4 linked regions of the Saccharomyces cerevisiae S288C genome follow. The gene in region 2 interacts genetically with the main gene of each other region. Each region holds a gene or a part of one and is shown on either strand. Other genes may lie near its edges. The genes, in order: CAK1, VAC7, MAK11 and EFT1.

What was found.
Region 1: mutations in VAC7 (region 2) and CAK1 together harm fitness more than expected from each alone (negative genetic interaction), as found in Saccharomyces cerevisiae (one large-scale study listed by BioGRID).
Region 3: mutations in VAC7 (region 2) and MAK11 together harm fitness less than expected from each alone (positive genetic interaction), as found in Saccharomyces cerevisiae (one large-scale study listed by BioGRID).
Region 4: mutations in VAC7 (region 2) and EFT1 together harm fitness more than expected from each alone (negative genetic interaction), as found in Saccharomyces cerevisiae (one large-scale study listed by BioGRID).

What each region holds. Positions count from the first base shown.
Region 1 is NC_001138.5:76,484-81,875, reverse strand, and holds CAK1 (cyclin-dependent protein kinase-activating kinase CAK1), read left to right. Parts: upstream 1-2,714; coding exon 2,715-3,821; downstream 3,822-5,392. Other genes in the region: GTPase-activating protein GYP8, read left to right, coding at 1-1,457; putative ATP-binding cassette family ATPase CAF16, read left to right, coding at 1,663-2,532; AGX1 (alanine--glyoxylate transaminase), read right to left, coding at 3,888-5,045.
Region 2 is NC_001146.8:523,676-531,360, forward strand, and holds VAC7 (Vac7p), read left to right. Parts: upstream 1-2,410; coding exon 2,411-5,908; downstream 5,909-7,685. Other genes in the region: tyrosine/serine/threonine protein phosphatase MSG5, read left to right, coding at 6,267-7,685. UniProt on the Saccharomyces cerevisiae protein: The PI(3,5)P2 regulatory complex regulates both the synthesis and turnover of phosphatidylinositol 3,5-bisphosphate (PtdIns(3,5)P2). Positively regulates FAB1 kinase activity.
Region 3 is NC_001143.9:396,844-402,135, forward strand, and holds MAK11 (Mak11p), read right to left. Parts: upstream 1,908-5,292; coding exon 501-1,907; downstream 1-500. Other genes in the region: anaphase promoting complex subunit CDC16, read right to left, coding at 1-405; SPT23 (Spt23p), read right to left, coding at 1,989-5,237.
Region 4 is NC_001147.6:573,386-579,998, forward strand, and holds EFT1 (elongation factor 2), read left to right. Parts: upstream 1-1,712; coding exon 1,713-4,241; downstream 4,242-6,613. Other genes in the region: retromer subunit VPS17, read left to right, coding at 1-1,445; GTPase-activating protein BAG7, read left to right, coding at 5,179-6,408. UniProt on the Saccharomyces cerevisiae protein: Catalyzes the GTP-dependent ribosomal translocation step during translation elongation.

The sequences.
Region 1 (5,392 bases), on a different chromosome or scaffold from region 2:
GCCACGACAAAGACGCGTTGACAAGGGGAGGTTATAACGCATATCTGGAATCACTTTCTCGTTGTGACAGTGGAAAGGCAGAAGAACAAAAAGGAAAAGTTATATCAAAGTTATTAGAGAAAAAAGATGTCCGAGCTTTGAGGTACATAGGTTTAGGGCCTCTGGGGTTTGTAAACAACTCATTAAGAAAAGATTGTTGGTATGAATTATTGGCGTCCCAGTTGCTTATTGATGATGCAACAGAGTACATTACACCAGTGGAAAAACATAAAGATGAAGGTCAGGTGATATTGGATGCAGAAAGGTCTTTTGGTGGAATTGTCGACAAAAACTTGAAACTGCAATTGAGAAAACTACTGGTGGAGTTAATTACTCGGGTATTGAGAAAGTACCCAACGTTGAACTATTACCAAGGTTATCATGATATTGTGTCTGTTTTCATCATGTGTTTTAGTTGGAATGTCACAAAAGAGAACGGACTGGAACTAGAAAATCTCTCATTGCAAGAAGAAATTGATATGGAAAGGCTGTTTTATTGCATCGAAGCATTTACCCTATTATATCTGAGGGATTTCATGATGAACTCACTAGATTTTTCATTTGAGCAATTGAGAGTAATCTCTTCATTGATAAAGGAATCAAACATGAAATTCTATAATCTATTCAAATTTGACGAAAATGAGCCCCTTTTCGCTATTGGGTCAATATTGACAATCTTTGCACATAATTTGAAACCTATAGATAGCGGTGACAACAATCTTCATAAAATTCTTTTCCAGATATTTGACATGACAATATCGATGCAATCTATGCGTTTACCTTTGATCATATACAAGAACCTGCTATTGCAAAATGCGTCTGAAATTTCGAAGCAAATAGAAGCTAATTCTGATTTCTTCGAGAACGATTTTGACCTGCGCCATGGTGCTATACAAACAGTTTTACAGAAAAAACTGTATGATGAGGCGCTTTGGGAAGAAGTCTTGCAAATAACTAGAAAAGATGCGACTACTGCCAGCAAGAAGGCTTTGAAACGGGTGAGTCTTAATAAATATAGTGCATTACTCAATACAGCATGTGGAAAGCCAGGATGCTTCGATATGAGCACCATTATCTTCTATTTGAGCGAACAAACAAAGATGAACGAGCATTACAAGGAAGAAAAGTATCATGGTGTCGCCGCCAGATCCAAGACAAGGGCGTTGGTCCAAAGACTTGGCCATTTTTTACCCTCCAAATATAACAGGTGGAGCAAAATTTCTTTACTTATCGGGATTGTAGCTATCCTGTACCAATTACGGACTACAAGGTCGTTGAGTTTAGTACTCAATCTACGTTACATGATCTCCACAAAGTTGAAAGACTTATCACATATAAATATAAATTTGCACCACGTTAGTCACATCTGGGTGGATCCGATTAGGGACATTTTGAAACTGGGGCATCCAACTAGATAGCATACAATATACCTTATATACCCATGACATAGAAACAAACTCATATGTAAGGTATTATTATAAAGTGCTTCTTTAAAATTCGCTGCGGAAATTTCTTCGAGGATGACTCAAATAAGAAAAAACGAAAATTCTGAAAGAGAGATTTTTAGTATGGAGAAAACCAGTACTCCTGCATAAGATATCAAGATATTAGATAACTCTCAAGATGGTTTCCCAATTTGCTATTGAGGTGCGTAACCTAACGTACAAATTCAAAGAAAGCTCCGATCCGTCAGTTGTTGATATCAATCTTCAAATCCCATGGAATACAAGATCTTTAGTTGTGGGTGCCAATGGTGCTGGTAAATCCACCCTTTTGAAATTACTAAGCGGTAAGCATCTTTGCCTTGATGGAAAAATCCTGGTCAATGGTCTTGATCCATTCAGTCCATTATCTATGAATCAAGTGGACGATGATGAAAGTGTTGAAGATTCGACGAACTACCAAACGACCACTTATCTAGGTACGGAATGGTGCCATATGAGTATCATTAATAGGGATATCGGCGTCTTGGAACTATTAAAAAGTATTGGATTCGATCATTTTAGGGAAAGAGGTGAAAGATTGGTTAGAATCCTGGACATCGATGTACGTTGGAGAATGCACAGGTTAAGTGATGGACAAAAGAGAAGAGTTCAGTTAGCCATGGGGCTCTTGAAACCTTGGAGAGTTTTACTACTTGATGAGGTCACTGTGGATCTCGATGTTATTGCCAGAGCAAGACTTCTGGAGTTTTTAAAGTGGGAGACCGAAACCAGAAGATGCTCAGTGGTCTACGCTACACATATTTTTGACGGCTTGGCCAAATGGCCTAACCAAGTATACCATATGAAATCAGGTAAGATTGTGGATAATTTAGATTATCAGAAAGACGTAGAGTTCTCTGAAGTGGTCAATGCTAAAGTTAATGGACAAGTGGCCTTTGAAAATGACAACAATAAGGTTGTTATTAGTAAAGTGAATAGTTTGCATCCATTAGCACTAGAATGGTTGAAACGTGATAATCAAATTCCTGACAAAGAGATTGGTATATAACTGAGTATATATAACTGCAAAGACCCCCTGTATAGAAAATATGTATCTTAGTGGAAAATGTGATTTGACTATTTAAGTTATAGAAGTAGTTTGTGATCCTAAAAAAAGGAAAACGACAGAAGTCTCATAGAAGCAAAGAGGCCAGATGAAGAAGAGAGGCAACAAAATTCACGCCCATCTTAATGAAACTGGATAGTATAGACATTACACACTGTCAGTTGGTCAAATCTACTAGAACTGCTAGGATTTATAGGTCGGATACATATGCCATTAAATGTCTAGCACTAGATTTCGATATCCCGCCACATAACGCCAAATTCGAAGTATCGATATTAAACAAACTGGGCAACAAATGTAAGCACATCTTACCTCTTCTAGAGTCTAAGGCTACCGATAATAATGACCTATTGTTGTTGTTTCCCTTTGAAGAGATGAACCTTTATGAGTTCATGCAAATGCACTATAAAAGAGATAGAAGAAAAAAAAATCCCTATTACGATTTGCTAAATCCCAGTATCCCAATTGTTGCGGACCCCCCCGTTCAGAAATATACTAATCAATTGGACGTCAATCGGTATTCTTTGTCCTTTTTCCGGCAAATGGTTGAAGGGATTGCATTCTTACATGAGAACAAGATCATTCACCGCGACATCAAACCGCAAAATATCATGCTAACAAACAATACCAGCACCGTATCCCCAAAGTTGTACATAATTGATTTTGGCATCTCTTATGACATGGCAAATAACTCACAAACAAGTGCGGAACCCATGGATAGCAAGGTGACGGATATAAGCACAGGAATTTACAAGGCCCCAGAAGTGCTTTTTGGAGTAAAATGCTATGATGGTGGCGTGGACGTGTGGTCGTTGTTGATAATTATTTCTCAGTGGTTCCAGAGAGAAACAAGCCGTATGGGGCACGTTCCGGCCATGATTGATGACGGCAGCGACGACATGAACTCAGATGGAAGCGATTTCAGACTGATTTGCTCAATATTCGAAAAGTTGGGCATACCGTCCATTCAGAAATGGGAAGAGGTTGCGCAACACGGCTCGGTTGATGCATTTGTTGGTATGTTTGGTGCAGATGGCGATGGCAAGTATGTACTGGACCAGGAGAAAGATGTACAGATTAGCATTGTTGAGAGGAATATGCCTCGACTGGACGAGATTGCGGATGTCAAAGTCAAGCAGAAGTTCATTAATTGTATCCTGGGGATGGTTTCATTTTCACCAAACGAAAGATGGAGCTGTCAAAGAATCTTGCAAGAATTAGAAAAGCCATAATAAGAAGAATATATAGGTACATATATATATATATATATATATATGAAATGAAAAGTACGAGGGTAATCACTTTTTCCTCTGAAGAGCTAGTTTTATTAAGTCGAAGCAGTTCTTCATGTACGGTAAATTCTTGTTGCAAGCGGTCACACCCATATGTCCAATACGGATATACTTGGGTCCGATGTCCTTGTGAATACCTCCGGCAATGACTACACCGTGTGACTTTAAAAAAGCAATGACATCAGGAGGATCTGCTACGTATACGGCTGTCAACCCGTGCGCAGACATGTTAGAAGGATACCTACTGACGGATGTCAATTGCAAGCCATTAACCAAACTGTCTTTAAACCAATCACTCATTTCACGGTGCAAATCCCATCTCTTATGCAACCCCTCTTCGAGAATTTCTTTCAAGGCTACATCAAGGCTATTAATTAGTTGTACGGGTGGGGTTGCAAAATAAGCTCCTTTACCAGCCTCATAATTTTCCATTATTGGTGTCCATCTTCTCAACGAGGAAAAATACCCATGTACATGACCATTTTTGCTGTCGTTGAGTGCATAATCCATGAATCTGCTACTGCATAGCGAGATAGAAAGACCCGCTGGAGCGCCAATAGCCTTTTGCGAAGCAGTCAAGGCGAAATCCACCCCCCATTCATCAAATTCAAACTCTTCGCATCCAATCGAGCATACAGCATCGACTACGAAGAACGTTTCCGGCGAAGTCTGCTTAATCGCTTGCGAAATGGCTTTCAGATCGGACAGCACTGCCGTTGAAGTGTCAACGTGCGTAACCGTGACAGCCCCATAGCTATTTTGCGACAACTTTTCAGTAATCAGTTCTAAGGGAACTGATTCGCCTATCTTGAGGGGCCTAACAACATCTACTTGCGCACCGTAGCTACGCAGACAGTCAGCAAACCTGTCAGAAAATGTCCCAGTGGATACGACCAGCACGTTCTTGTTGGGGGCCTTCGAAAGAATAAAGTTCGAGGCAAATATGTCCCACCCCAACGTACCAGAGCCGGCAAGCACAAAAGGCTGAGACTTCGAGGCAGCAGCGGATTTGAAGACAGCTCTTGTGTTCTTTAGCACCCTTTGAAAAATAGAGACGAACTCAGGAGAGGTGTGGCCCAAAGAGGGAACGTCCAGGGCCTTCTGGACTGCTCCGCTTAGGATAATGGGGCCTGGGATCAGCAGCGTATCTACAGATTTAGTCATCGTTGGTGTATTTAGGCTATGGAAAAAGAATTATATGAGCTTTCGTCTTCAACCAGTGCGATTATATAAAGACTGCGGAACAGAACATTCTTGGCCACTCCTCGAGGAGGACTACAGAGAGCCGTGAGAGTGAGAGTGATATGATGACTAAGGTCCTTTCGAAGGTATTTGATATAGTTATCACTCATTGGCCCGGAGTTAGGGGGAGATGTTCGCTTGCGGGAGCACGGGAGAAGGAACAGAGCGGCGTTAGCATCAAGTCTAAGGTTGAAAAGCTGCCCAACCTAAGGGCATACATCAAGAATTCTTTATAGTTTTATATAAAAAAATATATATATAGATAAATA
Region 2 (7,685 bases):
GCGTATTTAAGAATAGTCAAGTAACAATTTGCTTATTCGTTGATGATATGATATTGTTCAGCAAAGACTTAAATGCAAATAAGAAAATCATAACAACACTCAAGAAACAATACGATACAAAGATAATAAATCTGGGTGAAAGTGATAACGAAATTCAGTACGACATACTTGGATTAGAGATCAAATATCAAAGAAGCAAGTACATGAAATTAGGTATGGAAAAATCTTTGACAGAAAAATTACCCAAACTAAACGTTCATTTAAATCCAAAAGGAAAAAAACTTAGCGCTCCAGGTCAACCAGGTCTTTATATAGACCAGGATGAACTAGAAATAGATGAAGATGAATACAAAGAGAAGGTACATGAAATGCAAAAGTTGATTGGTCTAGCTTCATATGTTGGATATAAATTTAGATTTGACTTACTATACTACATCAACACACTTGCTCAACATATACTATTCCCCTCTAGGCAAGTTTTAGACATGACATATGAGTTAATACAATTCATGTGGGACACTAGAGATAAACAACTGATATGGCACAAAAACAAACCTACCAAGCCAGATAATAAACTAGTCGCAATAAGCGATGCTTCATATGGTAACCAACCATATTACAAGTCACAAATTGGTAACATTTTCCTACTCAACGGAAAAGTGATTGGAGGAAAGTCGACAAAGGCTTCGTTAACATGCACTTCAACTACAGAAGCAGAAATACACGCAGTCAGTGAAGCTATTCCGCTATTGAATAACCTCAGTCACCTTGTGCAAGAACTTAACAAGAAACCAATTATTAAAGGCTTACTTACTGATAGTAGATCAACGATCAGTATAATTAAGTCTACAAATGAAGAGAAATTTAGAAACAGATTTTTTGGCACAAAGGCAATGAGACTTAGAGATGAAGTATCAGGTAATAATTTATACGTATACTACATCGAGACCAAGAAGAACATTGCTGATGTGATGACAAAACCTCTTCCGATAAAAACATTTAAACTATTAACTAACAAATGGATTCATTAGATCTATTACATTATGGGTGGTATGTTGGAATAAAAATCAACTATCATCTACTAACTAGTATTTACGTTACTAGTATATTATCATATACGGTGTTAGAAGATGACGCAAATGATGAGAAATAGTCATCTAAATTAGTGGAAGCTGAAACGCAAGGATTGATAATGTAATAGGATCAATGAATATTAACATATAAAACGATGATAATAATATTTATAGAATTGTGTAGAATTACAGATTTCCTTTTATGGATTCCTAAATCCTCGAGGAGAACTTCTAGTATATTCTGTATACCTAATATTATAGCCTTTATCAACAATGGAATCCCAACAATTATCTCAACATTCACCCATTTCTCAAAACTATCACGGAATACTAATCGAAGACTAGTGACGCACGTTACGCTATAGCAACAACGTCACAAGGATAACGTTAGTAGTTTTTTGGAAGGACAATTGCAAACTATATGTAAACGAACGAAGACACACAGTCCAAAGCTGTAACAACAACCACATATATAAATGGTAGTCTTCTAGGAAACTTCACTGTAAGATTAGATACGTAGAGGTGAAAGACAAGTTGAAGTTTGGATCGGAAGTTCCATTAATATTTGGGTAAGTAAGTTCGCCGCGCGGCAGAAACGGTGAGTACTTACTCACTTTTGTTCTAACTACAACAAAAAACTGTAAAAGTGGTGTAAGGTTTACGTTCCGTTTTGGTTGCAAATCATCAGCCCTGGTTTAAGCTTTATGTCCAACATTGGTTAGCGAAGGCACCGTACTGGTCTCGATGTCGGTGAGCAGGGGCGGCGAAATTCATTCCAATCTTGGATAATATATATGTATATATCTATACACGCGGCGAGATCTTGTCCTCTAATTTCCCTTCGCTAAATCATTAAGAGGTCATTCATGAAGTTAATTCAGCACCAAAGTTGGACTGTTAGACACGAGATACACATTGCAGTCCAAATGTGCAGATTTTTCAGATAATTGTCGTCGCACAAGACTGCCCCTCCCGTCCTCAGACAGACACAAAATTAGATTTTACGTTTACATAAAGATGTACATAACTTGAAAAAACGTTAATCCCTCTTAAATTTAGACCTTGTAAGTCTTCCTGGCCACTCTTTGTGATATATTGTAGTGCAATATATTGATTCGTTCTTCTTATTTCTTTGTTCTTAGGCATTTCCGCTTTAGAAAATTCGTTGGGTGGTTTCTGCGACGGGTATCCCCTTCGATTTTGCATAATGATCTTCAATTCTACAACTAAAATCAAGTAGATACAGGAAAATATTCCATAAATTATAGTGTAAATCGCCCTGTATACACCTTATCGTTTCATCTCAGGCAAGTTAAAGCATTTGGGAAACGTGCTAGATGACAGAAGAAGATAGAAAGCTCACTGTAGAGACAGAAACAGTTGAGGCACCCGTGGCAAATAATCTTTTATTGTCGAATAACAGTAATGTAGTAGCACCTAATCCTTCTATTCCCTCTGCCTCCACATCTACCTCTCCGCTACACAGGGAAATAGTTGATGATTCTGTCGCTACTGCTAACACCACCAGCAACGTTGTACAGCATAATTTGCCCACCATAGATAACAATTTAATGGATTCCGATGCCACGTCACATAATCAAGATCATTGGCATTCAGACATAAACAGGGCAGGAACATCAATGTCAACGAGTGATATCCCAACAGATTTACATTTAGAACATATCGGCTCTGTTTCATCAACTAATAATAATAGTAACAATGCCCTAATCAACCACAACCCTCTGTCATCTCATCTTTCCAATCCGTCATCTTCATTACGAAACAAGAAGAGCTCTTTGTTGGTAGCTTCTAACCCTGCGTTTGCTTCAGATGTTGAACTCTCGAAGAAGAAACCTGCCGTCATCTCCAATAATATGCCTACAAGTAACATTGCCCTTTATCAAACAGCGAGATCGGCGAATATTCATGGTCCATCATCAACTTCCGCATCTAAAGCGTTCAGAAAGGCTTCGGCCTTCTCCAATAACACGGCACCCAGCACTAGTAATAACATCGGCTCGAATACACCTCCAGCTCCTCTTTTACCTCTACCTTCACTATCACAACAAAATAAGCCAAAAATAATAGAGAGGCCCACAATGCACGTCACTAATTCAAGAGAAATACTTTTAGGTGAAAACCTGTTAGATGATACAAAGGCGAAGAATGCTCCCGCGAATTCAACCACACACGATAATGGTCCAGTAGCAAATGATGGGCTGCGTATACCGAATCACTCGAACGCAGATGATAATGAAAATAACAACAAAATGAAGAAGAATAAAAACATTAATAGTGGGAAAAATGAACGTAATGATGACACCAGCAAAATATGCACTACATCTACTAAAACAGCGCCTTCAACCGCACCTTTGGGCAGTACAGACAATACTCAGGCTCTCACTGCTAGTGTCTCCAGCAGTAATGCTGACAATCACAATAATAACAAGAAGAAAACCAGCAGCAACAACAACGGCAATAACAGTAATAGTGCATCCAATAAAACCAATGCCGATATCAAGAATTCTAACGCCGACTTGAGCGCTTCTACCTCTAACAATAATGCAATAAATGACGACTCACATGAGAGTAATTCAGAAAAACCAACAAAGGCGGATTTTTTCGCTGCAAGGCTGGCTACAGCTGTAGGTGAAAATGAAATTAGTGATTCTGAGGAAACATTTGTTTATGAATCGGCAGCTAATTCGACTAAAAACCTAATATTTCCTGACTCCTCCAGCCAGCAGCAGCAGCAGCAACAGCAACCTCCAAAACAACAGCAACAGCAACAAAATCATGGAATAACCTCAAAGATAAGCGCCCCATTGCTAAACAATAACAAAAAATTATTAAGCCGACTGAAAAATTCAAGACATATTAGCACTGGTGCCATATTGAATAACACAATCGCGACTATAAGCACAAATCCGAACTTGAATTCTAATGTGATGCAGAACAATAACAATCTGATGTCGGGACACAATCACCTGGACGAGTTGAGCAGTATAAAACAGGAGCCACCGCATCAATTGCAGCAGCAGCAACCACCAATGGATGTACAATCGGTAGATTCGTATACCTCTGACAACCCAGACAGCAATGTTATTGCCAAGTCGCCTGATAAGAGGTCAAGCTTAGTATCCCTATCTAAAGTTTCTCCACATTTACTTTCATCCACATCAAGCAACGGTAACACAATATCGTGTCCCAATGTTGCCACAAATTCGCAGGAATTGGAACCAAACAATGATATTTCAACGAAGAAATCTCTTTCCAATTCTACTTTGAGACATTCCTCTGCTAATAGAAATTCTAATTATGGTGACAACAAAAGGCCTCTTAGAACAACAGTGTCAAAGATATTTGATTCAAACCCTAATGGAGCTCCTTTACGGAGATACTCTGGGGTACCGGATCACGTTAATCTAGAAGATTACATCGAACAGCCGCATAATTATCCAACAATGCAAAATAGTGTGAAAAAGGATGAATTTTATAACAGCAGGAACAATAAGTTTCCCCATGGTTTAAACTTTTATGGTGATAACAATGTTATTGAAGAGGAAAATAATGGTGACTCGTCTAATGTAAATCGACCGCAACACACTAACCTTCAGCATGAGTTTATTCCAGAAGATAACGAAAGTGATGAAAACGATATTCACTCCATGTTTTATTATAATCATAAGAACGATTTAGAAACAAAACCGCTAATATCCGATTATGGTGAAGATGAAGACGTAGATGATTATGATCGCCCAAATGCTACTTTCAACAGTTACTATGGCTCAGCATCCAACACGCACGAACTTCCATTACATGGAAGGATGCCTTCAAGATCAAATAATGATTACTACGATTTTATGGTTGGCAACAATACTGGCAATAACAACCAATTGAATGAATATACCCCCTTAAGAATGAAACGTGGTCAAAGACACCTATCAAGAACAAACAATAGCATAATGAATGGTAGCATCCATATGAATGGTAACGATGACGTTACCCATTCCAATATCAATAATAACGATATTGTTGGTTACTCACCGCACAACTTTTACTCAAGGAAGTCCCCATTTGTGAAAGTAAAGAATTTTCTTTATCTTGCATTTGTTATATCATCACTATTGATGACAGGATTCATTCTGGGATTTTTATTGGCCACTAATAAAGAACTACAAGATGTAGACGTGGTAGTGATGGATAATGTGATTTCAAGTTCGGACGAGTTGATCTTCGACATCACAGTAAGTGCTTTTAATCCAGGATTCTTCAGTATAAGCGTTTCCCAAGTCGATTTGGACATTTTTGCAAAAAGTTCTTACCTGAAGTGCGATTCTAATGGTGACTGTACAGTAATGGAACAGGAACGGAAAATTTTACAAATAACGACAAATCTTTCGTTAGTTGAAGAGAGTGCTAATAATGATATTAGTGGTGGGAACATAGAGACGGTATTACTAGGAACCGCTAAAAAACTAGAGACACCATTAAAGTTCCAGGGCGGCGCATTTAATAGGAACTACGATGTGTCAGTCTCGAGTGTCAAGCTTTTAAGTCCTGGGTCTCGTGAAGCCAAGCACGAAAACGACGATGATGACGATGATGATGGCGACGATGGTGACGATGAAAACAATACTAATGAAAGACAATACAAAAGCAAACCAAATGCTAGAGATGACAAAGAAGATGATACTAAAAAATGGAAGCTACTAATCAAGCATGATTACGAATTGATAGTCCGTGGAAGCATGAAGTATGAGGTGCCCTTTTTCAATACGCAAAAATCTACGGCTATTCAAAAGGATTCCATGGTCCATCCTGGTAAGAAGTGAGTGTTAAGAATGTAGCTTTTTCGTCAAAGCTGGGTATTTTTCTTTTTATAGCGCAGGAGCGGAAGGCAATTTCCAAAACAGGAATGTACTTTCCAAAAAAGGAAAATGTAGTTTGTTTTTTGATGTTTTTTTCTCTTTGACTATTTCAAATTTAGAAGTGAAAAAATACAAAAATGTTACATAGGATTCGATACAGTGTAATATATCATTATTATTACTTTTAAATAAAGCGTTTAGTAAACAAGAGTGAGGGTTATGCAACTCGTTTAGTAAACATTCTTTTTTTTTTCTTCATTTAAGTATAAGACAACAATAGTAGCGGAAGCGATAGTAATACATTTGGTAGCGATAAGTGCACATGCAATTTCACTCAGATAAGCAGCATTTGGACAGTAAAACCGACATCGATTTCAAGCCAAACTCACCGCGTTCCTTACAAAATAGGAATACCAAAAATTTATCTTTAGATATAGCAGCACTCCATCCATTAATGGAATTCTCATCGCCAAGCCAAGATGTGCCAGGTTCAGTAAAATTCCCATCGCCGACACCTTTGAATCTATTTATGAAGCCCAAACCTATTGTGTTGGAGAAATGTCCACCAAAAGTAAGTCCAAGGCCAACGCCACCATCGCTGTCGATGAGGCGAAGCGAGGCCTCTATATACACACTACCAACATCTTTGAAGAACCGAACTGTTTCTCCAAGCGTGTATACAAAATCATCCACAGTATCGTCTATCAGTAAGCTGTCATCATCATCACCGTTATCGTCATTTTCAGAAAAACCTCATCTGAATAGAGTCCATTCATTATCCGTGAAAACTAAAGACTTGAAGTTGAAGGGAATTAGAGGACGTTCTCAAACGATCTCAGGGTTAGAGACATCCACGCCAATTTCTAGTACTCGTGAAGGTACTTTAGATAGTACGGATGTCAACAGATTTTCTAACCAAAAGAATATGCAAACAACATTGATTTTCCCGGAGGAGGACTCGGATCTGAATATTGATATGGTGCATGCAGAGATTTATCAACGAACGGTTTATTTAGATGGACCATTGCTGGTACTGCCGCCTAATTTGTATCTATATTCAGAACCCAAACTAGAAGATATATTATCGTTTGATTTAGTCATTAATGTTGCCAAAGAAATACCGAACCTGGAGTTTTTAATACCGCCGGAAATGGCACATAAAATAAAATATTACCATATTGAATGGACACACACATCCAAGATCGTCAAGGACTTATCCCGATTGACACGCATTATACATACCGCTCATTCGCAAGGCAAGAAAATACTCGTACACTGTCAGTGTGGAGTATCAAGATCGGCGTCATTGATTGTGGCGTATATCATGCGATATTATGGCTTGAGTTTAAATGATGCATACAATAAGCTGAAAGGTGTTGCTAAGGATATAAGTCCAAACATGGGTCTCATCTTCCAACTTATGGAATGGGGAACCATGTTGTCCAAGAACTCACCGGGCGAAGAAGGAGAGACTGTTCACATGCCTGAGGAAGATGACATCGGAAACAACGAAGTTTCCTCGACTACGAAGTCCTACTCTTCTGCGTCCTTTAGAAGTTTTCCCATGGTAACGAATCTATCATCGTCGCCGAATGACAGTTCTGTCAATTCTTCGGAAGTAACGCCAAGAACTCCTGCTACGTTGACTGGAGCAAGGACCGCACTGGCCACAGAACGCGGGGAAGATGATGAGCACTGTAAAAGTTTGTCTCAACCCGCAGATTCACTGGAAGCTTCTGTG
Region 3 (5,292 bases), on a different chromosome or scaffold from region 2:
CACAACATTGCCCGTAATGGAATTGGAATTAGAATTAGAATTAGCAGATGGCTGGTGCGGAGTCATAATATTCGCTTGCAACTTCTGTATTAAAGGGCTATTTGCTAACGACTGGTAGGGACTCGTAGCCGTATTGGTTCTGTTCCAGGGTTGCTGCAAACGATCATTCTGAGCATCGGTTGGTAAACTCTGTTGTGTTCTTGCTGCAGATACGTTAGAAACAAATGGCGAGGCGGCCAATGTAGAATTATGTTGTGAATGTTGCTCCGAAGGCGACATGGGGTTTCTCATAAGTACCCTGTTTGACGATTTCAAGTTTGATGTGGCTTTTGATGACTTGTAATAATGTGTAGCCTTTCCACAAATAACGATATAACAATGACAGCAATAAAGACAAAACTTCATATCATCTTTAACGATTAAGATAAATTATTTTATATTATACATATAAACTAACTTTAGTACGCAACAATTCTGAGCTGCACGCATGTATAAGGCGTTTATTCAAGTTCTACTGATACTTTACTCTTCTTCAATTGCTTCCGCTTCTTTTTATTGAGTTTCTTCTTCTCACCAAACATTATCTTCTTTAATTCTTCGGTATCACTTTCCACCTCACTTTGGTCACCTATATCAGCTGTTTCAGCATCCCTCTTCTTCATTGTGTTGTATTTCTCAATGCTTTCATCGCATAGCGTTAAGCAATTTAGCCTTTCGCCACAGTCGTAGACTGCTACTTGTTCTTTTGTAGACATATCCCATACGACAATTTTACCATCAGAACCAATGGTGACTAGGTAGGTACCAAATTCATTCGTATAAAACTTGAAATCTTTAATACGGTTTGTGTGACCCAATAAAGAAAAAGCGGGGCTGATATCCTCCTTGTCGTCATCATCTTCCTGCTTTTCATTTTCTTCAACTTTTTCGAATAACTCCTCACAAGGATAGAAATGAACATTACCATCGCTGATACCAACAGAAAGGTATTCCTTATTATCGAATGGTAAAATATGTGTTTCAATATGCATAAGAGTTTTCCTTTGAAAGACTATTTCTTTAAAAACTTTAGCCGATCCAGTTTCATAAATAAGCACCCTATCCCTTAAACCCACGGCAAAATAATCACCTTTGGCGCCTAACCATCTAACACAAGTCCCGTTTGTATTATATTTTCTTAGTTTTAGTACAGCAGCATTTCTTAGAGTCATCAAATTCCAAAGACGTATAGAATGGTCATCACTAACACTGATGGCAATTCTATTGGTGGGGTGAATATCCACATCATTAACCCTTGCCGTGTGTCCCTTTAAAGTCCCCACTGTTTCCCAGTCCTTTACTCTCCAAACCATAATTTTGTGGTCTTCTGATGCTGATAATAACCATTTGCTATTCTTGCTCCCCTTTGAAACAGCAGCATCCTCACTGGAAGAAGCTGGATGTGAGAATTGTAGAGCAGTAATAGAGCCCTGATGACTTAACAAAGTACCCAGTTCCTTCCTCTTTTGCAAATCATAAATTCTGATGTGCTCGTCATTGGATCCAGAAACTAGGTATCTTCTTGAAACAGCCAAACATTTAATACTCAACGAATGGGCTTGAAAATGAAATATTGGCATAAAATGTGGTGTCTTTGCTGCATCATTTTCCTTTTGATTTGGGATATCTAAGGATAAACACAAAATGTTGTGCTCGTATGAGCCCACAATGATACGAAATTGGTTCTTGTCGCCTATAGCACTCATTTTTCTACACGAATTCTTGACTTGGCCCTTAGGATCTTTTCGAGATGAGGTACCATGAGTTTTCAATTTTTCATGTTCTAAAAAATTTTCGGCCTTGATCTTGAACTTTATAATTCTAAGCAAAAAAAAAATGAAGACAGTATAAGTAGTATTCAGTAACATAAAGAAGATAAAATTCAAAAATGCAAAATAATAAAAAATGAATCTATATAGTGTAAGGATTATGTAGCTAGAAAAATGTCTTTAATTGACTCGCATGTCGTTTAGAATGTTATTGTTTTGAAACTTCGATAACTGCATTTTAAAAGAGGTTTTCATCCTTTCGTTGCCTAGTAGTACCTTGGCTAAACCAATTCTTAAATATTCCTGAACAATTTTGGATAAATTATGAAACATATCATCATCTTTCCCCAAATTCGATAATGTGAAACATAATAAGAGTACTAAAGTTAAGGGGATCCAAAAGAATAGGAGCATCTTATCATTCTGAAAGTTTTGCTTCTTGGAAAAGATTGTGTTGAACCCGACCTGTAAAGCTTCTAATTCATCGTCTTCAGAAGAAGTTTGAGAATCATCCACGGTCATTTGGGCAGAATTATCTGGCCCAATCTCCACAGATTTGCTACCAAGTTCCCAGTTTTTGGGTTTTTTTGGGAACAAGTCTTCATACTTTGGGAGCTCGTCATTTAAACGAGTTAGCATTCTGTTCCATAAAGATCCGTCAGGCTCTATGCTAGTCTTAGTAGTTTTTGGTATTTCATTTGGCTTTGAAGAGAAGTCCTTGATTTTGTGGGTGTTAAAGAACTCCAAAGCAATCTCATCTGAAGATGATTCACAATCACTTATGTCATAACCTGAATCCGAATCTAGGATTGAGAATGACGTATTGTCATTACAGTTGGATTGTTCGGGGGCAAGGGCAGCGGAATCCGCCAATAAATATTTTCTTTCTTGGACATAGTCATGATCAGCATCGTCATCATCAAATAAACTTGAGTTGAAACTTGACTGGGATACATTTCTCTCAAACGGTTGAGTATCACTGGATCCTGTTGTATTCTTCGTTAATCTAGTCAGAATGTCGTCAAACAGACTGGTTTCATAATTAGAATATCTGGTCTTGTTGACAGTATAATTCATCAGGAAGAACTGTTTAGCGATAAAGCCGTTTCTGGTTTTCTTCATAATATTAACGTTGCATTCTAACAATAGTCTTATAATTCTCAAGTCACCATTAATACACGCCATATGTAGCGGAGTAAAACCAAATAAATCTTGGTCGTTCAAATGCGACCCATATTTGATTAGTAATGAGACAAGACTATACCAGTTATTGAATGCTGCCAGATGTAATAGAGTTCTACCCCTAACGTCACACATGGAAAGATTGACGGTAGAGAGATTATTATTTCTCTTAAATGACTTAATAACTTCAGTGATCAATTGTTCATCGTTTATATTTCGCATCATATTCGTGTACGAATTTAAAGAGCTATTCTGTGAGTGTAATCCTGCGTTATTATTAGATGGAGATGAATCACTGCCAACAATCCTTTTAGCAATATTTCTTGCATCTTCCAGTTTACCGTTCATTTTCAGCCCCACAATTTGCAGAGCCAATTCAATTAGTTGCCTATCAGTATCATCAACATAAGTAAAGATTGCTTTCTCACCGGTATACTTGTTTAAGTGCAGAATGTCATTGGTACTATTGCTGGTGGAAACACTACTATTGCTATTATTTCTCATAGACGTTTCACTTGGGTCGACTATGGTTACCAAAACCGGTCCAGGTTTAGATGAAGGCGGTAAATAAGTCACCATCGTAGATTCATTCCAGCATTGGCTGGACAATGCTATATTTTCGCCAAACTTGATGATTAAGCCCTGCTTAAACTTTGAGCCAAGTAGAGTCACTTCTATACCTCCGTTGATGGAACCTTGTGCGGGGATGACACGCTGAATAGAAGGCTTGTTATTTAGCGCCACGGGGACACTATTATGGTTCGATATATCTTTGGAAGAATCGATGAATTTCTGGGGAAGACGGGAAAACGTATTAGGCGTAGACATAAAAGGCTCGTTTACCGAACGCTGCCTCTTGCCAGTGTGTCTCGCAGAGGCCGCACTGAAATCACTAGTTAATGTAGTAAGAGCGGGATTAGATGAACTATTAAAACCTGTGGACGACCAAGAGTCTAGTGAACGATGTAAATTGTTGTCGTTGTTATTAGAAAAATGAATATCTGAAAAAGAATGGTTGCTGTCCTCACTGGAGGAATTTGGTGATGGAAAGTGTCTGTTGTTGTTCATCATTGCGGTATTAGTCTTAATGTTGTTTTTGTTATCATTATCATTGTTGTTGTTATTACAATTGCTATCAAGCATACAGTTCGTAGAAATGACAAAATTTTTACTGTTAGAAGGCAGGGGGAATTCGGATGGGAAGTTTAAGTCACTTTGCGGCGATGAAAAGGATCTAGTGTCATTTGTCATTGGCGAAACCTGGGCATTGCTGGTGCTGGTTGGAGTTGTGGTATTGCTGGCATTTTTCTTGTCCATGATCATTATGGGATCTGTTATAGTTTTCGCCAAGATATCGCCGTTATGGTCCCTTAGAAGGAACAAAACTACAAACCCGTTAGTTGCCTTGTGGTGTCTGCAGTAACAGACGATTCTCGTCGGTAAGTCGAAATTGATACAGTTAGAGTTACCACTCAAACCGTTATTACTAATGATGAAAAGTTGTTTACTATTGAATATGATTGCTCTTTTGTTTTCGTTATTTTGCCAGATGGAGTTGTCGTTCAACCCAGACTTTCTTCTCGACGCTCTTCTTTTTTCCCTGTTGATACATCTATTACAAACATAGGTCTGCTTGAAGTTGTTGCTATTGTTGTTAGATGCACACAAAAGAAAGGCGTCCAAGAAAAGAGTCCTTTCGTTGATGTCCCTATTGGGTATTGTCAAGTTGGTGGGATCGTCCGAGCTGGTGAAAAACTTGTCCTTCGCTATACAATCAGAGGGCAGATGAATAAAGAAGTTTTTTCTTGCATGTGCGTTTCTAATCCGAAAACTCAGCTTCATCTGAGTTTCCACCCTAGAAACCTTCGGCAACCCAATAATTTCTAGAGACAATGGAAGGGACTGCGGGTTAATGTTGATAAAATCCAGTGGATTCGCGTATGGCGTCCTCAGAGGTAGCTTTCTGCCAAATTGAACGTGTCGATCAAGCAATCCTTGCAAAGATGCGATGTCATCCCTGAGCTCCCCTTCATCTTCCTTACCTGGTGTAGTAGTACCTGCTGTTATCATTTTCTCTTGGTTCAGACTCAATAAACCAGGGTCTTGCAGAGAGGACCCAGAGTTGAGCAGAGCAATATCCAGTAATTCTGATTCTAGTAAATCCAAGTCCGGAGAGCCATCGTTGTGCTGTATGTTGGCGCTATAGCTGTGGAGCATCGAGGAAACGTTTCCTGTGCCACTCATCATTTTCAGTGGTGTACTACTGTTGTGATTAGTCGTTTAGAGGATATCTAGAGTATAA
Region 4 (6,613 bases), on a different chromosome or scaffold from region 2:
ACGCAACACGATCAAAAACTTCAAACGAACACAATGAAAACCAACAACCATCTCAACCATCAGAACGTGTTATACTTCCTGAAAGAAGTGATGAGAAAAAAAAATACACTCTACTTGCAAAAGTAACAGGATTGGAACGATTTGGATCTGCAACCGGTAAGAAAGAGAATCCGACTATTATATTTGATTGCTCCACAAATTTGCCAACATTTCGCAAACAACAATACAAGAATGTCAAAAAATCATACGAAGAATTCCACCAATTGTTCAAATATCTGAATGTTGCCATTCAGGAATCTTTTGTTCCTACTCTTCCCTCTGCGTATACTACATTCGGAATTAATAGCGAAGAAGATAGGATGAAAGTAACGCGAAATTTCCAACTTTGGTTTAACAGGCTATCGCAAGACCCCTTAATTATTCGGAATGAAGAAGTGGCCTTTTTCATTGAAAGTGACTTTAATACGTACACACCCATCAACAAGTCCAAATCACTCGCATCTGGGTTGAAAAGAAAAACATTGAAACAATTAGCACCTCCATATGATGAAATCACAGAATTAGCAGAATTCCGGCCATTAGTCAAGTCTATATATGTTGTTTCTCAGAGCTTGCAAGAAAAACTGCTAAGAGTTTCCAGAAATCGCAAGATGATGGTTCAAGAAGAAAATGCCTTCGGCCAGGATTTCGTTAATCTAGATGAGCACAATAAACTTTACAGAAGATACGGTAAAATATTGACTGCTGTGGGTGATATTGATAGCATTATAGCAACCATGGACATGGCGACATTGTACGATGGTTTAGAGTGGATTGTCAGAGATGCTTATGCCGTGAAGGAAGCATTGACCAACAGGCATTTTATCATGCGAAATCTAGTACAGGCACAGCAGAATTCAAAGGCGAAACAGGAACAAGCACGCAGGTTCCGGTCAAGAAGAGATATTAACCCTATGAAAATCGATGAAGCACTACGTCAGTTGAAAGCTGCAGCTAAAAACGAACAAGTTTTGACCCTTAAGCTTCAACGAATCACGTCCAACATGATTATCGAGAGAAAACAGTGGATTAGCTGGTATGAAGAATGGATAAGAAGCTCGATCAAAGAATTTACACTAAGAAAGATAGAGTATGAAAGAAAGAAGCTGACGTTACTAGAACGAGTACGTTCTGATATCAGAAAAGCTGATGAAAACGGAGGTTTGTCACGTCTAGGACGCCATGCTGTCTCAAACAACAACTCCGATACTTCTCAAACCCTTAAAGGGGACAGTTGGACGGGAGAGAGCAACCGCAAAAGTCAAATCCCCATCAACAAGATCGCTCATACCGAATTTGATGATGAACTATTCACTGAAGACGATGGGTACAACTCTCAGGACTCAGACACTACATCACTGAATGCGCGCCATGCTGCTTCACTTTTGGGCATGTCCACTAAATAATACGTATATAAAGTAGAAAATTCATACCTTTGAACAAGGTGATCTTTTTCCTTTAGTTGATATTAATCCCGGGTAAACTTCCGTGTTGCACTTTTAAAATTTTTTTTCAAATCTCACCTAGAAAATTTTTTTTTGCCATGAGCCTTCCTTTAATTAATCTCAATTGCATACTACTGTTGTATTAAACGCTTCACTGGTTTTTTTACTTAACCCCATTTGCCAGAAAGCCAGACCTACGCACCCAAGAATTTTTAATAACAGATAAAAATGGTTGCTTTCACTGTTGACCAAATGCGTTCTTTAATGGACAAAGTTACCAATGTGCGTAACATGTCCGTTATTGCTCACGTCGATCATGGTAAGTCCACTTTGACCGATTCCTTGGTCCAAAGAGCCGGTATTATTTCCGCTGCTAAGGCTGGTGAAGCTCGTTTCACCGATACCAGAAAGGATGAACAAGAAAGAGGTATCACTATCAAGTCTACCGCTATTTCTCTATACTCTGAAATGTCTGACGAAGATGTCAAGGAAATCAAGCAAAAGACCGACGGTAACTCCTTCTTGATCAACTTGATCGACTCTCCAGGTCACGTTGACTTCTCCTCTGAAGTTACTGCCGCTTTACGTGTCACTGACGGTGCTTTGGTTGTCGTCGACACCATTGAAGGTGTCTGTGTCCAAACCGAAACTGTTTTGAGACAAGCTTTGGGTGAAAGAATCAAGCCTGTTGTTGTTATCAACAAGGTCGACAGAGCTTTGTTGGAATTGCAAGTTTCTAAGGAAGATTTATACCAAACCTTTGCCAGAACTGTTGAATCCGTTAACGTCATCGTTTCCACCTACGCCGATGAAGTTTTGGGTGATGTCCAAGTTTACCCAGCCAGAGGTACCGTTGCCTTCGGTTCCGGTTTGCACGGTTGGGCTTTCACTATCCGTCAATTCGCCACCAGATATGCTAAGAAATTCGGTGTCGACAAGGCCAAGATGATGGACAGATTATGGGGTGACTCTTTCTTCAACCCAAAGACCAAGAAGTGGACCAACAAGGACACTGATGCTGAAGGTAAGCCATTGGAAAGAGCTTTCAACATGTTCATCTTGGACCCAATCTTCAGATTATTCACTGCTATCATGAACTTCAAGAAAGACGAAATTCCAGTTTTGCTAGAAAAGTTGGAAATTGTCTTGAAGGGTGACGAAAAGGACTTGGAAGGTAAGGCCTTGTTGAAGGTTGTTATGAGAAAGTTCTTGCCAGCTGCCGATGCCTTATTGGAAATGATTGTCTTGCACTTGCCATCTCCAGTCACTGCTCAAGCCTACAGAGCTGAACAATTATACGAAGGTCCAGCTGACGATGCCAACTGTATTGCTATCAAGAACTGTGATCCAAAGGCTGATTTGATGTTGTACGTCTCCAAGATGGTGCCAACCTCTGATAAGGGTAGATTCTACGCCTTCGGTAGAGTTTTTGCCGGTACTGTTAAGTCCGGTCAAAAGGTCAGAATCCAAGGTCCAAACTACGTTCCAGGTAAGAAGGACGATTTGTTCATCAAGGCCATTCAAAGAGTTGTTTTGATGATGGGTAGATTTGTCGAACCAATCGATGACTGTCCAGCCGGTAACATTATCGGTTTAGTCGGTATCGATCAATTCTTGTTGAAGACTGGTACTTTGACCACCAGTGAAACTGCTCACAACATGAAGGTCATGAAATTCTCTGTCTCTCCAGTTGTGCAAGTCGCTGTCGAAGTCAAGAACGCTAACGACTTACCAAAATTGGTCGAAGGTTTGAAGAGATTGTCCAAGTCTGATCCATGTGTCTTGACCTATATGTCTGAATCCGGTGAACATATCGTTGCTGGTACCGGTGAATTGCATTTGGAAATTTGTTTGCAAGATTTGGAACACGACCACGCTGGTGTTCCATTGAAGATCTCCCCACCAGTTGTCGCTTACAGAGAAACTGTTGAAAGTGAATCTTCTCAAACTGCTTTGTCCAAGTCTCCAAACAAGCATAACAGAATCTACTTGAAGGCTGAACCAATTGACGAAGAAGTCTCTTTGGCTATTGAAAACGGTATCATCAACCCAAGAGATGATTTCAAGGCCAGAGCTAGAATCATGGCTGACGACTACGGTTGGGATGTCACCGATGCCAGAAAGATCTGGTGTTTCGGTCCAGACGGTAACGGTCCAAACTTGGTTATTGACCAAACTAAGGCTGTCCAATACTTGCACGAAATCAAGGATTCCGTTGTTGCTGCTTTCCAATGGGCTACCAAGGAAGGTCCAATTTTCGGTGAAGAAATGAGATCTGTCAGAGTTAACATTTTGGATGTTACTTTACATGCCGATGCTATCCACAGAGGTGGTGGTCAAATCATCCCAACCATGAGAAGAGCTACTTACGCCGGTTTCTTGTTGGCTGATCCAAAGATCCAAGAACCAGTTTTCTTGGTCGAAATTCAATGTCCAGAACAAGCCGTCGGTGGTATCTACTCCGTCTTAAACAAGAAGAGAGGTCAAGTCGTTTCTGAAGAACAAAGACCAGGTACTCCATTGTTTACCGTCAAGGCCTACTTGCCAGTTAACGAATCTTTCGGTTTCACTGGTGAATTGAGACAAGCTACCGGTGGTCAAGCTTTCCCACAAATGGTTTTCGACCATTGGTCCACTTTAGGTTCTGACCCATTGGACCCAACCTCTAAGGCTGGTGAAATTGTTCTTGCTGCTCGTAAGAGACACGGTATGAAGGAAGAAGTTCCAGGCTGGCAAGAATATTACGACAAATTGTAAGAAGTCTAAATGAGAAAAGGTGGTTCTGTAAGAGCAAACCTTACCGCCTTATGATCTTTTTCATTTATTCTCTGCTTTAAAATTTTGTCGTAATAAAAATAGTATGGTAATAGACTTATATATTATTTTCTTACACATTTTTGTCATATAGTTATATTCCGAATGTTTACAATCGAACCCATCATAAAAATGGACCTTTTCGTATTACCGCCCCCTTTGTAGAGGGGGAGGAACGGCAACTTCTTGACTATTACGACGTATCACCACCCCGTTAGATATACTATGGAAAAAACTATTAAAAACCATTATAATTCATTAATGACATCGGTCCTGAGGTAGTATTACGTATAACTTACCTGGCTCTTGGTCATAGCTTTTTATCCGTTTACGAAAAAAGGAGAAGAAGATTGGGCTTCCGCGGCTATTGTTTGGTTTATACCCCGCCGTATGTTGGTGCTTCTATAATTAGAGCGAAATAGGAAATACAAAAAATCCTTGGAGGGGAGGACCAGCCTCATCGGGCTAAAACTCCCTCAAAACCGGAGGGGCAACCAAAGTATATATCTCATTATGGCCGATACTTCTAGAGGCGCACTAACAGAAGCACCTCAGCCCCTGCAGGTGAAAGAAAGAGGTAATTAATTTTCCGGTTACTTACTTTCTCTCGCTATTGGGGAAAGCGTTGGTTCGAGGCGTTGAGGTCGAAGACAATCATTGTTTTCTTCTTATTTAAGTACATCTTTAGAAGAAAATTACACAACTGGAATGAGTAAATCAATACTTGCTTTGTGTTCCCATTGTTAGATACTCTTGTTTTAGCATGTGATAGCAGTATATAATATAACCTGCAAAATAATCGAAACGCGTACACAGGAAAGAGTACATAAATAACCATAGTATATTTCTGGACATATCTTATTACACAACATAAAATAGAATGTTTAACATGAATCTACTTTCTACACCTTCTTCTGAAGAGGGTTCTCCACAGAATAGGTCATCTTCAATGTCTTCTGTTGAGGGCAAGAAGGATAGGGACACCTTTACTAATTTGCAAAACGAATTTGATGGTAAAGTATTTGGCGTCTCACTCGAGGAATCACTGAAAGTTGCTCAAGAGGAAGTAATTATCCAAAAAAGTACAAATGAAATTGGTTCCATACCGGTGGTAATAGCAAAAAGTGGGAAATACCTAAAAGAGAATGCATTAGACACAACAGGAATTTTCCGTATTGCGGGAAGCAATAAACGTGTTAGAGAGCTACAAGCTGTTTTCTCTAAACCGCCCGATTATGGTCGTAAATTTGAAGGATGGTGTGATTTCAATGTTCATGACATTGCAACTTTATTAAAAAGATATTTGAACTCATTAAGTGAGCCTTTGGTTCCCCTAGCATTATACGACATTTTTAGAAATCCAATATTAGAAAACCCAAAAATAAATGAGCACAAAGAACAAATCATTAAGGACTACGAAGATATTTATATGCTCTTACCACAACAAAATCGCCATTTAATACTTTATTTAGCCGCGCTCTTGAATTTATTTGCAAGAAATGAAAAGAAGAATTTAATGTCAGCAAGCAATTTAGCGGCCATCGTACAACCCTCACTTTTGTCTCATCCCAAGGATGAAATGTGCCCGAAAGAGTATGAGGCTTCCAGAACTGTCATCGAATTCCTCATACTACACGCTTCAGATATAATACCGAATACGGAAAAAGCGAATAAGGACACCATGCCGCATGCAGGAACAGTAGCAAAGTTTAACAACATTACCGTTCCTGAAATGGCTATTGACTCCGATGAAGAAGATTTTGTGCACCCTTCAATAGATGACCATATGCTTCCAAGGTCACGTGCACTTTCTGACTCCAACAATTTTACCATACATCATCATCATCATCATCATCATGCACTGTTTCCTAGCCCAATAGATTTTGATAACAATGGGCTTTCTGTACCGAGATCCTTTAAAGGTAGAACATTGAGTGCAGAGTCCCTTTCTCCCAGACTTAGTAAATTACTTGGGAACGTTGGAAACAGCAGCAATACTGGCATCAAAGACCCTACAGAAAGAGTTCCTAGAGGTGAACATAAAACCAAACACAAACAACGACAGTCATGGTTGAGAAGACTCACTAGCCCTTCTAGAACGCAGCCTTAGCTTCCTAAGCACTGTGATCTGCTAGTCGATTCCGAGGTTCGGCGAAGAAATTGTCGTTGCCCCGCCAGGGGCCTTTTGCGATACTCGGCGCTTCTTTCAGCAATCTCGGTCCGCATCTCGGCAAGGGGGGGCATGACACGGGCCGCTCTGGTTGGTCAGTTCCTATTTTCTGTAACTTCCATTGTTTGGTTAAAGAATATATAAG